Linked DNA regions of Ovis aries. The protein of the gene in region 1 interacts with the protein of each later gene in a pairwise test. Links are inferred from orthologs where the notes say so. Each region holds a gene or a part of one and is shown in the gene's direction. Other genes may lie near its edges.

What was found. The genes of interacting proteins can lie anywhere in the genome.
Region 2: the proteins of ZBTB9 (region 1) and TSR2 interact in binary tests that used the Homo sapiens proteins (3 or more experiments, as listed by UniProt). The two-hybrid records come from large-scale screens. The link is inferred for Ovis aries from reciprocal best matches to the Homo sapiens genes ZBTB9 and TSR2.

The regions. Positions count from the first base shown.
Region 1 is NC_056073.1:7,780,844-7,786,945, forward strand, and holds ZBTB9 (zinc finger and BTB domain-containing protein 9), read left to right. Parts: upstream 1-2,166; 5' UTR 2,167-2,308; exon of another isoform or gene 2,309-2,415; intron 2,416-2,595; exon of another isoform or gene 2,596-2,670; 5' UTR 2,671-2,676; coding exon 2,677-4,065; 3' UTR 4,066-5,202; downstream 5,203-6,102. UniProt on the Homo sapiens protein: May be involved in transcriptional regulation.
Region 2 is NC_056080.1:52,468,841-52,475,054, forward strand, and holds the start of TSR2 (pre-rRNA-processing protein TSR2 homolog), read left to right. Parts: upstream 1-2,262; 5' UTR 2,263-2,277; coding exon 2,278-2,361; intron 2,362-2,524; coding exon 2,525-2,615; intron 2,616-5,563; coding exon 5,564-5,655; intron 5,656-6,213; coding exon 6,214-6,214. UniProt on the Homo sapiens protein: May be involved in 20S pre-rRNA processing.

The DNA.
Region 1 (6,102 bases):
GTGATTTTTTAGCAGTAACCAGAGCTGACAATCTAACTCCCCTCCACCGCCCCATTTTGGCCTCCCCTGTCCCCCTTGTTATGGGGAGGGGCCCCAGGTGAGGGGGTCCTATTACCCCTTGATTTCTCAGGAGCGTCTGGGGGGGCTCAGCACGCACAAACTCCTTCTCCTCCTACCACTCTCAAATACTCTCCCTCCCCACCCAGAACCCAGATGGGGTGGAGGGGCCGCCGGGCAGGGAGGGGGCGGCAAAGGGGGAATGGGACTTGTCTCCCTTTCTTCCCATACCTGATCTGCTCTTGGCTGGTCCCAGAGCGGGGTGAGGGGGCTCAGGCCCCCCCCTCCCCCAGTGTGTTGGGTGGGGTGGAACTGAGGTTCAGGGGAGGGGTTAGGGTTTAGGAGTGGGGTGTATGTTGGGGAGGACAGACTAGCTGATCTGCCCTACCCTGACACACACAGCCCCCCTGCCCCCCACCTCTTGGTCTCTACTCCCAGGGGGAGGGGGGAACTTACTCTAGGAAAAGCCATGTCTCTCTCCCCCAGGGCAGGGGGACCTGTGTTGGAGGAGGGGTGTTGGGGGCCCCCTTCCATGACTCTGTCCCCTGGGGGAGGTAGGACAGGGCTGGGCTTCCCTCTCATCCTCCCCACCCCCCAATCTCCCTCCACGTCTCTCCCTCCCGCCAGCGCCAGCTCCACAATTTTTCGGTGTTTCTCTGTACATAGCTCTCTGGCGGGATAGGGGAGGTAGGATGGATGGGGTTTGGGGTGGGTCGGTCATAGGAGGAGAGAAGGTCCTCCTTGGCACCCCCTCTTCCCTGACTGCTGTCCTCTACCCAGCCTTGCCCCCTCATCCCTTCTTGCGTTTGGTATTGAGACTTCTCAGACTCCACCCTTCTTTCTTTTGTATGGACAGTTCCCCTTCAGTCCCATACCCCTACATACAGACACCCAGCCGGGGCCAAATTTATACTTATATAAAAGTTGTAAATATGTGAAATTTTATCCCTGTGCCCTTCCTTGCTTTCCCAACCTCAGACCCTACCCCTGGACCTCCTTTCCTCTCTTCTTTGGCTGTTGTAATTATCTGGGATTTGTACTGTACATATCCGGGGTGTGTGTGTGTGGGCTGGGGGCAACCCCTCTGTACAGCGCTTCCTGGCCCCCTCCCCACCACGATTCCCTCTCCCCCAATAAGGGTAGGGAGATGTTCTTCCTACCTGTTTTATTTTGTTTTCTCGTTCTCCCTCCCCACCCCACCCCACCCCCAGCCTACTCTCTCCCCCACCACTGCCCCTTCCACTCCCAGCCCCATTTCCTTTTTTTCTGGAGTGTGTGGTGAAACAGAAAAATCATGTTTAATAAACGGAGATTGTTCTTTTACCGCGGTGCTGACTTTCCTAGTCTCGGACCTCCCGGAGGATCAGCATGGTGACAGGAACTGCTTTTTGAGGAAGCTGACAGCTTGGGAGAAATTCTGTATCCTTGTGTGACGCCATAGTCTTGGCCCTAGAATATCGCTCTCCCAACTAGCAAGATTGTTTTGAGTAGGGGTTTTTGCACAGGCCAAATTTCCCCCATGTGTCTCACCATTGCGCCACTTAACCCCAAGAGAAAAGAGGTTAAGGAACAGCAGCAGTATCTGATAAAAAATAAGTGTACATCTACATGTCCCTTAAAAGTAATTACCTAGAAGAGAAGATTATTTCATTGTTGGTTAAAGTGCTCCCGTACGGAACGGAGGAAAGAACTTGGTGCCTCAGCCTTGTGGAGTCGGCCCCTGAGCCAGCACTTGCCGTCTCGGCTTCCCCTGAGGAAAGGATGGGAACTCCTACCTCGCTGGTGGCGGGTCGGGGGAGGGGGCGTGGGATAGAAGGTGATATGAACAATACCTAATACGCTAGGTGTCCTCTTAATCTCAGCACCCATCGGGGGCAGGCGTTACATTTAATCACTGGCACGGCTCACTGGTGGCACCCTCGGTACCGCCTGCGCATTCTCATCCCCTCTGCGGCCCCAGCCGGGTGTACTGCCTCCCGCCAGGACCGCCTTCTCGCCGGCATGACCAATCGACGTGAGGCTTGTAGGCCGGCGCCCTCCGATTGGCTGCCTCCCTGGCCCCGCCCAACTCCCCGGGGGTCCGCTTCCGGCGGGGAGGAGGCGGCTTCCGGCCGAGGCGGCGCGGTTGCTGCAGAGCCGCTCTGGACGCAGGACCGCGTGTGTACCCGTGGGGGCGTGGCGACAGGAAGGGCCAAGTGGCTGGCGCTCGCGGTCCCCGGGTACCTGCCAGGGAGTTGGACTCTGCGGGCACGTGAGTTGGGGAGCGGAACGGTGGGAAGAAGCCGACCGGGCCGGCGGGATCCGGCTCGCGGCTGAAGGACCTCCTCCTCGCCACAGGCCCTTCAAGTTCAATCCCCGGTTGGTGTTTTGTTGTGGTTTGTTTTCGTTTTCTTGGCGGGGGAGTGTGTGGGACTGTTCTGCCCGAACCACCGGCTACCGAAAAGTTCCACACGTTGGGGTGCAGCGGAGGCGGACGTTGCTTGGGGAGATACGATTGTCTTTATCCACAGCTTCTGTGACCCCTTCTTTCCTCCACAGCCCTCGTCGCGCAGGGGCTCTCCCCCGCCCTCTCACCTCCTGTACCCGACCCTCTGGGATCTCTTTCTTCCCCAGGAGGCCATGGATACCTCGACGCCTTTGCCTCCTGTAGCCCCCTCCCCAGCCTGCAACCCAGCCCCACGGACGATCCAGATCGAGTTCCCTCAGCACAGTTCTTTGCTGCTGGAGGCCCTGAACCGCCACAGGCTGGAGGGAAAGTTCTGTGACGTCTCTCTCCTGGTGCAGGGCCGCGAACTGAGGGCCCACAAAGCAGTGTTGGCCGCCGCTTCTCCTTACTTCCACGACAAACTACTTCTGGGGGATGCACCGCGTCTCACCCTACCCAGCGTTATCGAAGCCGATGCCTTCGAGGGGCTGCTCCAGCTCATTTATTCGGGGCACCTCCGTCTGCCCCTGGATGCTCTCCCTGCACACCTTCTTGTGGCCAGTGGCCTGCAGATGTGGCAAGTGGTAGATCAGTGCTCAGAGATCCTTAGAGAACTGGAAAACGCAGGTGGTGGGATTTCGTCCCGAGGAGTAGCCCCTTTCCACACACTTCTTTCCACCACAGGAGGCTGGTCCATCCGCTCTTCTCCTTTCCAGACCCCGGCACAGTCTTCTGCTTCTAACCAGAGCTCGATTGGAGGGGAGGGGAGTGAACTGGGAGATATATTACAGCTTCAGGTTGAAGAGGAAGATGAGGAAGAAGATGAGGAGGACCAAGGGTCAGCAGCACCCTGTCAGACTCCTCAGCCTCAGAGAGGATCAGGGAGTTTTCCTCCCCCTCCTGTATCCTACCCCCTGCCCACATCCACTATTCCTTGCAGAGTTCCAGAGGGCGAGAGTGCCCCACCTGAGCCTCCTGCTCCTCATACTGCATTGCCCCCCAAAATCTTCTACATCAAGCAGGAACCCTTTGAGTCCAAGGAGGAGATAGCTGGAGGCGGAAGTCAGTCTGTAGGAGCAAAGGAGGAGACCAAAGTGTTTCCAGCAGGGAACACTGAAGAGAATGGACAACTAGGGTTCCTGCTGCCCTCAGGAGCAGGGACAACATCTGGAGGAGGTGATCCATCCTGGAAACCAGTGGATCTTCATGGGAATGAAATCCTATCAGGGGGTGGGGGACCTGGGGGAGTAGGGCAGGCTGTGCATGGGCCTGTGAAGCTAGGTGGCGCTCCCCCTGCAGATGGAAAACGCTTTGGTTGTTTGTGTGGGAAACGCTTTGCAGTGAAGCCAAAGCGTGACCGGCACATCATGCTGACATTCAGCCTTCGACCCTTTGGCTGTGGCATCTGCAACAAGCGTTTCAAGCTGAAGCACCACCTGACAGAGCATATGAAGACGCATGCTGGAGCCCTACATGCCTGTCCTCACTGTGGTCGCCGGTTCAGAGTCCATGCCTGTTTCCTTCGCCATAGGGACCTCTGCAAGGGTCAGGGCTGGGCCACTGCTCACTGGACTTACAAGTGATTGCTAAGGCCATATGCTAACTTTCAGGACAAGGGAGCCACTACTGCTGATGGATACTTATTACCGCTCACTACCACAGTACCCTAATCCTGTATCTTGATGTTGGTGTTGGTGGTTTTTTCTTGGCCATACCTCGTAGCATGCCACCAGGGATTGAACCTGCACCCCTGCAGTAGACAGTGCAGAGTCCTAACCACTGGACTAGCAGCAACGTCATATCTTGTTAGTTATTCCACAAGGATAGATATATTATGGATCTCTTCTTGGATGTGGGCCTCAACCTGACAGATTTGAAAACTTGATTTCTCATCTCCAGGTTTTTGCTAACTATCCTCCGGGAGACTGGTTTACAGGCCCTAGATATACTGATCAGTTGCCTGTAATCGATCCTTTCATACAGGAAACTGGATTAAATTTCAGATTAGAAGTTTTATTTGATGAGAGAGGAGTTAGAGCAAGAAAAATTATGATAAATGTTTAATTCAGTCTCTATGAGAAGTTAAGGGAGCTGGTCTCCATCTAGAGATGTGTTTGATTCAGAGTTCTAGTAATCCAGAGACTAAGCTCTAAGCTTTACTTTTCCCTCATCATTGCTGAAATTTTATGAGTAAAGGTCTTATATACTTTTCTTTTGTTATGATTTTCTGGAAACCCTTCAGTCTATAAATTACTTTCTCACCAGTAGGTACTTTTTCAACACCTTTATTTTGTATGTTGTAGTTGAGCGCTTTAACAAATTGAGAATTCCATGAGTCACTTAGAACCCTCTTTAATAGAGGTATTCCCTCCACAGTCTGTGCCTCTTGTCTACCTTTGACCACCACTTATCACTCATATTGATCACAGGGACTGAAGTGTGATCAGTGAACTCAGGAGATGGCCATTGACCTAAAAATAAAATACTCTCAGGGTAGTGCCACTGCTCTGAACAAGAGGCCGAGGTTAGAGGGACTCAGGGCTGAGATGGCACATGCTGAAAACTAGAGAAATAACTGCACAGTGGGACCATACCTCCTCCCTGTCCATCCTCACCCACATTACAGCCCCTTGGTCCACACACAGAAGGGTAGATATTGGAATGGGGAGATTGTCGTAGTTTTCTTTATTTCTTCAAATAAACTTTGCCATGAAATCTAAGCTAACTATGAACTGAATTGAGTCATTTATATGGGAGAGAACATGTGAAAAGAGTTGCGAAGACCTGGATGTCTTCCTTATGCAGCTGGGTTATGTCAGTGGGGGAAGAACCAGATAGTTTCATGCTGATGCAGAGAACACAATCCTGGACATTGGTGGACCAGATTCTCAGTCCTCACCTGCCTTTTTTGTTTTGAGGGGTGGGGTGTTATGTACCTTCTAACTGGTTCTTTGTTTTTTGTTTATTATTTTAGAGATTGTTCACATGATTTTATAATGTTGCCTCCTGACCTCATATATTATGTGTATTGTTTGGTTTGTTCAACATTTATTGCAAAGCACTGTACTCAACCCTGACTTACACTCTTAACCTTGAAGAGTTTGCAGCTACTACCAAAGCTAGACATAATGACAGTGTGGTATAGTAAGTCCATGATGGGGGACAGTACACGCTACTGTAGTGGCACAAAGGAAGCTGAGTAAAGAACCTATTATAGATCACCAGAGGTTTCACAAAGACCTCCATTGCCAGAGTGTGGCAGTGGGGATAGGTGGCCGAATTGATGTGGAAAGGGTGAGCATGAGAACCGTAGAGGCAAGACTGGCAGCCTTTGCCAAAGCAGGTACCTCGGAAGTTAGTAGGTATGGAGCCTAAAGGGGCTACAACTATGACTGTGGCTGAGAAGGTGAGTTCTAGCTGGGATCTGTCAGTCTTTCTAAAGAGCCATCCCCACTATTAGGACTGTGACCACACTGGGTACAGGGTCAGGGATGGAGGCTGCCACCCTTGGATCTACTGCAATGCCACCCACCTGTCATTCTTTGGCGCACATTCTGTAAGTGGGTGTATCTGTTGGCCAGGATCCTTGGATTGCAAGTAATGGAAGCTGGCTCTGACTA
Region 2 (6,214 bases), on another chromosome or scaffold:
TCAGGCCCCATTTTCCCCTTCCCTTATTCCTGCTGCTGCTGCTGCTGAGTCGCTTCAGTCATGTCCGACTCTGTGTGACCCCATAGACGGCAGCCCACCAGGCTCCCCCGTCCCTGGGATTCTCCAGGCAAAAACACTGGAGTGGGTTGCCATTTCCTTCTCCAACGCATGAAAGTGAAAAGTGAAAGTGAAGTCGCTCAGTCCTGTCCGACTCCCAGCGACCCCATGGACTGCAGCCCACCAGGCTCCTCCGTCCATGGGATTTTCCAGGCGAGAGTACTGGAGTGGGGTGCCATCGCCTTCTCTGTCCCCTACTCCTAGGCAACAATTAATCTATTTTCTGTCTCTATAGATTGGCTTATTCTGTACATTTCAGATAAATGATACCATAAAATATATGGTTTTTTTTGACTAGTTGGGAGTGATGTCACTTTTCATTCCTGATTTCAGTAATTTGAATCTTCTCTTTTTTTACTTAGTCAATCTAGCTGAAACTTTGTCAATTTTGTTGATCTTTCTTAAAAACAGTACTTTTGGTTTTACTGATTTTCTCTATTGTTTTCCTACTTTCCGTTACATTTATTTCCTCTCCAATTTTATTATTTCCTTCCTTCCTTCTGCTTGCTTTGGGATTACTCTATTCTTTTTCTAGTTTCTGAAGGTGGCAGATCAGGCTATTCATTTAAGATTTTTCTTTTTTAATAGGGACGTTTATATCTATAAGATTCCATTTAAGCACTGCTTTAGCTGTACCTCATAAATTTTGGTGTGCTGTGCCTTAGTTTTCAAGTTATTTCAAGATGTCTTGTTTTCCCTTGTGATTTTCCTTTTACTCATTTGTTATTATTATTATTTTTTAAATTATGAATGGGTAATGAAATTTTTTTTTGCATCAGTTCTACTGAACTGAATAGGGACGTTTATAAGATTCCATTTAAGCATTGCTTTAGCTGCACCTCATAAATTTCGGTGTGCTGTGCCTTAGTTTTCAAGCTATTTCAAGATGTCTTGTTTTCCCTTGTGATTTTTTTTCTTTTACTCATTTGTTATTTAGAAGTGTGTTAAAATGCACATATTTGTGAATTCCACAAATGTCTTTCTGTTATTGAATTCTAATTTCACCCCACTGTGGTTGAAGAACAATCTTTGTATGGTTTTAATCCTTTTAAACTTATTGAGGGCTGCTTTAGGAGATAACATATCCTGGAACATGTTCCACTTGCACTTCAGAAAAATGTGTATTCTGCTGTTGTTGGGTGGAGTGTTCTGGATACATTATTAAATGCAGATTTGTAGGCATTGCTATCTGAGGTTGCTGTCCAAGGGCCTGAAATCTGCATCCTTAATAAGTTCCCCACATCTTCTCTGTGCAGTACCCTGTGTCCCGAATTCATGGACATAGGCGTCCACCACTCCTGGCTTCCTTAGATTTAATTATAGGTTAAGCATCTAGTCCCATCACTTCATGGGAAATAGGTGGGGAAACAGTGGAAACAGTGTCAGACTTTATTTTTTTGGGCTCCAAAATCACTGCAGATGGTGACTGCAGCCATGAATTTAAAAGACGGTTACTCCTTGGAAGAAAAGTTATGACCAACCTAGATAGCATATTCAAAAGCAGAGATATTACTTTGCCGACTAAGGTCCGTCTAGTCAAGGCTATGGTTTTTCCAGTAGTCATGTATGGATGTGAGAGTTGGACTGTGAAGAAGGCTGAGTGCCGAAGAATTGATGCTTTTGAACTGTGGTGTTGGAGAAGACTCTTGAGAGTCCCTTGGACTGCAAGGAGATCCAACCTGTCCATTCTGAAGGAGATCAACCCTGGGATTTCTTTGGAAAGAATGATGCTAAAGCTGAAACTCCAGTACTTTGGCCACCTCATGCGAAGAGTTGACTCATTGGAAAAGACTCTGATGCTGGGAGGGATTGGGGGCAGGAGGAGAAGGGGACGACAGGGGATGAGATGGCTGGATGGCATCACTGGCTCGATGGACCTGAGTCTGAGTGAACTCCGGGAGTTGGTGATGGACAGGGAGGCCTGGCGTGCTGTGATTCATGGGGTCGCAAAGAGTTGGATACGACTGAGCGACTGAACTGAACAGAACTGAACAGTGTTGGTGTCATCGATTCCTCGACAGACTTTTCTATTACTCTTGTCTTGTTACCAGGTCAGCGGAAAGGCGAATCTGCATTCTTAGGCTCGGCTTTCGACTCCTTCTGTCTGGGCGATACTGCGCAGGGATTGGCCCGCCTGGGCGTCATGTGGTCCGCAGCCGGATGATGGCGGGCGCTGCTGAAGATGTGCGAGCGCTCTTCGGGGCTGCAGTCCGAGCGGCGCTGGAGGCCTGGCCCGCCTTGCAGGTGAGCGGAGCCGCGGTTGGGATAAAGGTTAGCGACCGTTAGAGAACAGGAGTTGGTTTAGCGAGCCGCCTGAAGCTTGGTTGGGCGGCATAAACAGCGGAATTCTGCGCCACTGCAGGCGGGCTCCCCGATTGACGTGATGGGCTTGGGTCTGTATTCGCAGATCGCTGTGGACAACGGCTTCGGAGGTGTGCACAGCCAAGAGAAGGCTGAGTGGCTGGGGGGTGCAGTGGAGGAGTATTTCTTCCGCAATGGTGAGTGAATGTAAGGCTCTGGGACTTCTCTGTGGGGGCTTGAGGAGGAGGAGGCCGCCGATCCTAGTGAATACGCACTTCTTTTTTTTAATTTTTTAAAAATTTTTCTTTATTTTTTGAATCGCATTTCTTGAGCAATTGTCGGTTGGTACCTGAGGGCGAGGTGGAATGAACGCAGGCTTTGAAGTTAGAATCCTGAGTTCGAATGCCTCGTGGCCGTTGCCATTGACTCCGGGTATCATGCTGGACAAGTATTATCGCCCCGCCTCAATACTCAGTTTACTAATTTGTAAAATGGATGTAAAAGTATCCACCAGCGTGATCCTACAGAAACATGTTAGTCGCATTATGTAATTTAAAAATTTTCAGCCGCCACGTTAATAAAGTAAAAACAAGCAGATGAAATGAACTGCTCACCTCAATAGATCCAAAATGTTTCAACATGTAGTCAGTATAAAACGCTGTTAATGAGATGTTTTACAACCTTTTTTAGTATTAAATTTTCAAAATCTGGTGGGTATTTTGCAGTTTTAGCACGTCTCATTGTTTTTTTGCCTAGCCACATTTTAAGTGCTCAGTACGTTTGACTATTTGGACAGCAGAGATCTACATTTTTGATGCGTCTTGAGAGTCGTATAAGAACAAAGGGTCCTACAGGGAGTCTTTTACGAAATAAGGTTTTTACAGAATTCTTCATTTAGTTTTTTAGTCTTGGAGGTGACATTAGGCGGAGTCCTTTCTCTCAAGGAAATTTACCATCTAGTGAGAGATCCAGATAAGTAAATAGGCATTTGCAGACAGGGTGATAGGTGTTCTAATAATGAGGAGCTCAGGATGCTTGGGTAATGTGAGCTTCGGGAGAAGGCGTCTTTCCGAGATCTTTAGGGAGTGGTGGTGATTGGGCTGAATCTTAAGGGATGAGAAAGGAGTTAATAAGGAGGGGAGGCAGAGAGAGCAACATTCAGAAATAAGTCCTGTGGTATGAGGAGATTATGTGTTATATTTGGAAAGTGGCAGAGAGTTCAGTGTTAGAGTAGGGATGTGTGTGTGTGCTTGTGGGTATGTGGAAGGGAGGAGTGGTGGAGAATGAAGATGGGAGATGGGGAAGCCACTGGAAAATGAATGAGACATGGAAGGACTTATGTGCCTTTGATTTTTGTCCTTTAGGCCAGCGTTTGCCAGAATGCATGCTTTGGAAGACTAGTTCTATTAGATGTTCAGTGAAGAAAAAGCTTCTCCAGTCAAATTATATAAGGAAAGCTCTTTTCTTCAGCTCTTAAGAGTCACAGTAATTATTAACATATTAAAGGCTTGGATAAGGACAAGAACCACTGAAAAGAAACCTGTTTACCTTTGTTTCCCTTTAGTTTTCTTTGAATAACTTCCCTTAAAATCCAGGAGGCCAGTTATTTTTCAAAAGCAGAATATGAAACACTACAGTTAGGTGATTAAAAATTCATGAGCAGGATCTAATAGGATGGGGTTTTCTGGCTAGAAAGTTCAGAAAGTAGTCAGTGTGGAGCATGGACTTTAGAGGGAAAGACTAAGGAGAGGGCTGTGTCTGTCTAGAAAATGATGAGGCCTGAATTAGGGCATTAGTCATGGGAAAGAAGGGATGGCTCAAAGGAAATTGTTTGACTGTAGAGAGGGAGGAAAAATGGGGCAGGTTTCTAGTTTGAGTCACTGGGTGGCTTAGGTACCTTTAATGGACTAGAAGAACACTGGAGAATGAAAATTAGGTTTGGAGGGTAAGATGATGAATCTGGCTTTGGATGTGGAGGGTCTGAAGCACCTGTGGAACAGGTGGAGCATAGCCTGGGTTGGAGACTGATTTGGGGGGTATTAGAATGGTAGGGGGAGAAGGCAGTGGCACCCCACTCTAGTACTCTTGCCTGGAAAATCCCATGGACGGAGGAGCCTGGGAGGCTGCAGTCTATGGGGTCGCTAGGAGTTGGACACGACTGAGTGGCTTCACTTTCACTTTTCACTTTCATGCATTGGAGAAGGAAATGGCAACCCACTCCAGTGTTCTTGCCTGGAGAATCCCGGGGACGGGGCAGCCTGGTGAGCTGCTGTCTATGGGGTTGCACAGAGTCGCATACGACTGAAGTGACTTAGCAGCAGCAGCAGCGGCAGCAGCAGCAGAATGGTAGGGAAAGTGAAGAGGGTGAATGAGCTCTCCCAGAGGGAATAGAGAGCAAGGAGCTTTGTGGAAGACTTTCTTGAGTTTTTTCTAATTCAGAAAAAGTAGAGCATGGGCCCATAAGGTAACTGAAGCTGAGAGAGGAAGTCTCAGCTAAAGTCATACAATAGGACATTGAGGTCAAGGCTGTGGCAAGTACTGAGGTCATCATGGCAAGTACTGAGGTCATCATGGCAAGTACTGAACATCTGTTTCTTTTTACCTATCCCATTGGTCTGTGGCCTCCTGTGTCAGTGGAACCACAGTTGTGAAGTCTTTACATTTCAATAACTTCAGCCCTTGAGTAATGGAAATGAACATGGATTTCCATTGTTCCAAACAAACAATGCCTGTGCTAGGCATTGTTTGGGTGACTTCTCATAACAGACCTTCAAGAAGGTTACCATTAACCTCACTTTGCAGAAGAGAAAACAGTCTTGGAGATGAGTAACTCACATGTTCAAAGTCACGTGGAGAGGAGGCTGGTTAAAATAGGCCAGCTAAAAAGAGGGTGAGTGTGGATGGAATGCTGTAGGAATAGAGGACCTGGTAGAATGCAGAAGGTTGGAAATTAGGTATTTAATGTTTGTTTTTTTTTTAATCATGTTAAAACCTGGAATGTAGAACACTTTAGCAAATAAAAGTCTCATTAAATCTTTACCCACCAATCAGATGTGGATCCACCAAGTAGGTACTTAAGAGTAGTGGGCAAGGGTGATGAAGTTGGCTGGTCTTTGACCAGAGGACTTTATCCTTTCATACTCAGCTGACTTGGAGCTAGATGAGGTGGAGGACTTCCTCGGGGAGCTAATGATGAACGAGTTTGATACGGTTGTGGAGGATGGGAGTCTGCCCCAGGTGAGCATGTCATGGATACAACTACCATCTTCCTGCCTGTAGCCTTTCTTCTCGCTAGCTGTCTGTTTTAGATTAACACTTTTGGCTGTAACCATTTTCTTGAGTCCTGTGCAAGAACTTGCTATGACCCCCTGTTGCCTAAAGGAAAGTCTAGTCTTCCCAGGCCTTTCAAATCCTGCCTGTATTGTTTCTCTCCATGTATCATTCTCAGTCAGGTTTGTTTGTCACCTCCATCTCAGGGGCACACCAGGCAGGTACATTTCTAAATGTTCTGGTTTAACATCACTACTCCTCCTAGGATTGCCTTTCCTTTTTACGTCTTCTGTCTTTCAAACCCAGTTCTAGTGCCTTCTGTGCTAGGAGGGCCTCCTTCAACACTTCAGGCCCTTAATGAGCCCTTCAGATGTGGTTGCTTCATTAGTGAACTCCTTGGGGGAGGAAAGATCCCCATTCTCTTCTGGAAAACTCTAGACCCCTCCCCATTCTTGTTGCAAACACAAGCTGGTTGTATTGTAGGTTCTCTAGAAAATCGAAGCTGGTTGAATGTTTTCTTGGTAGG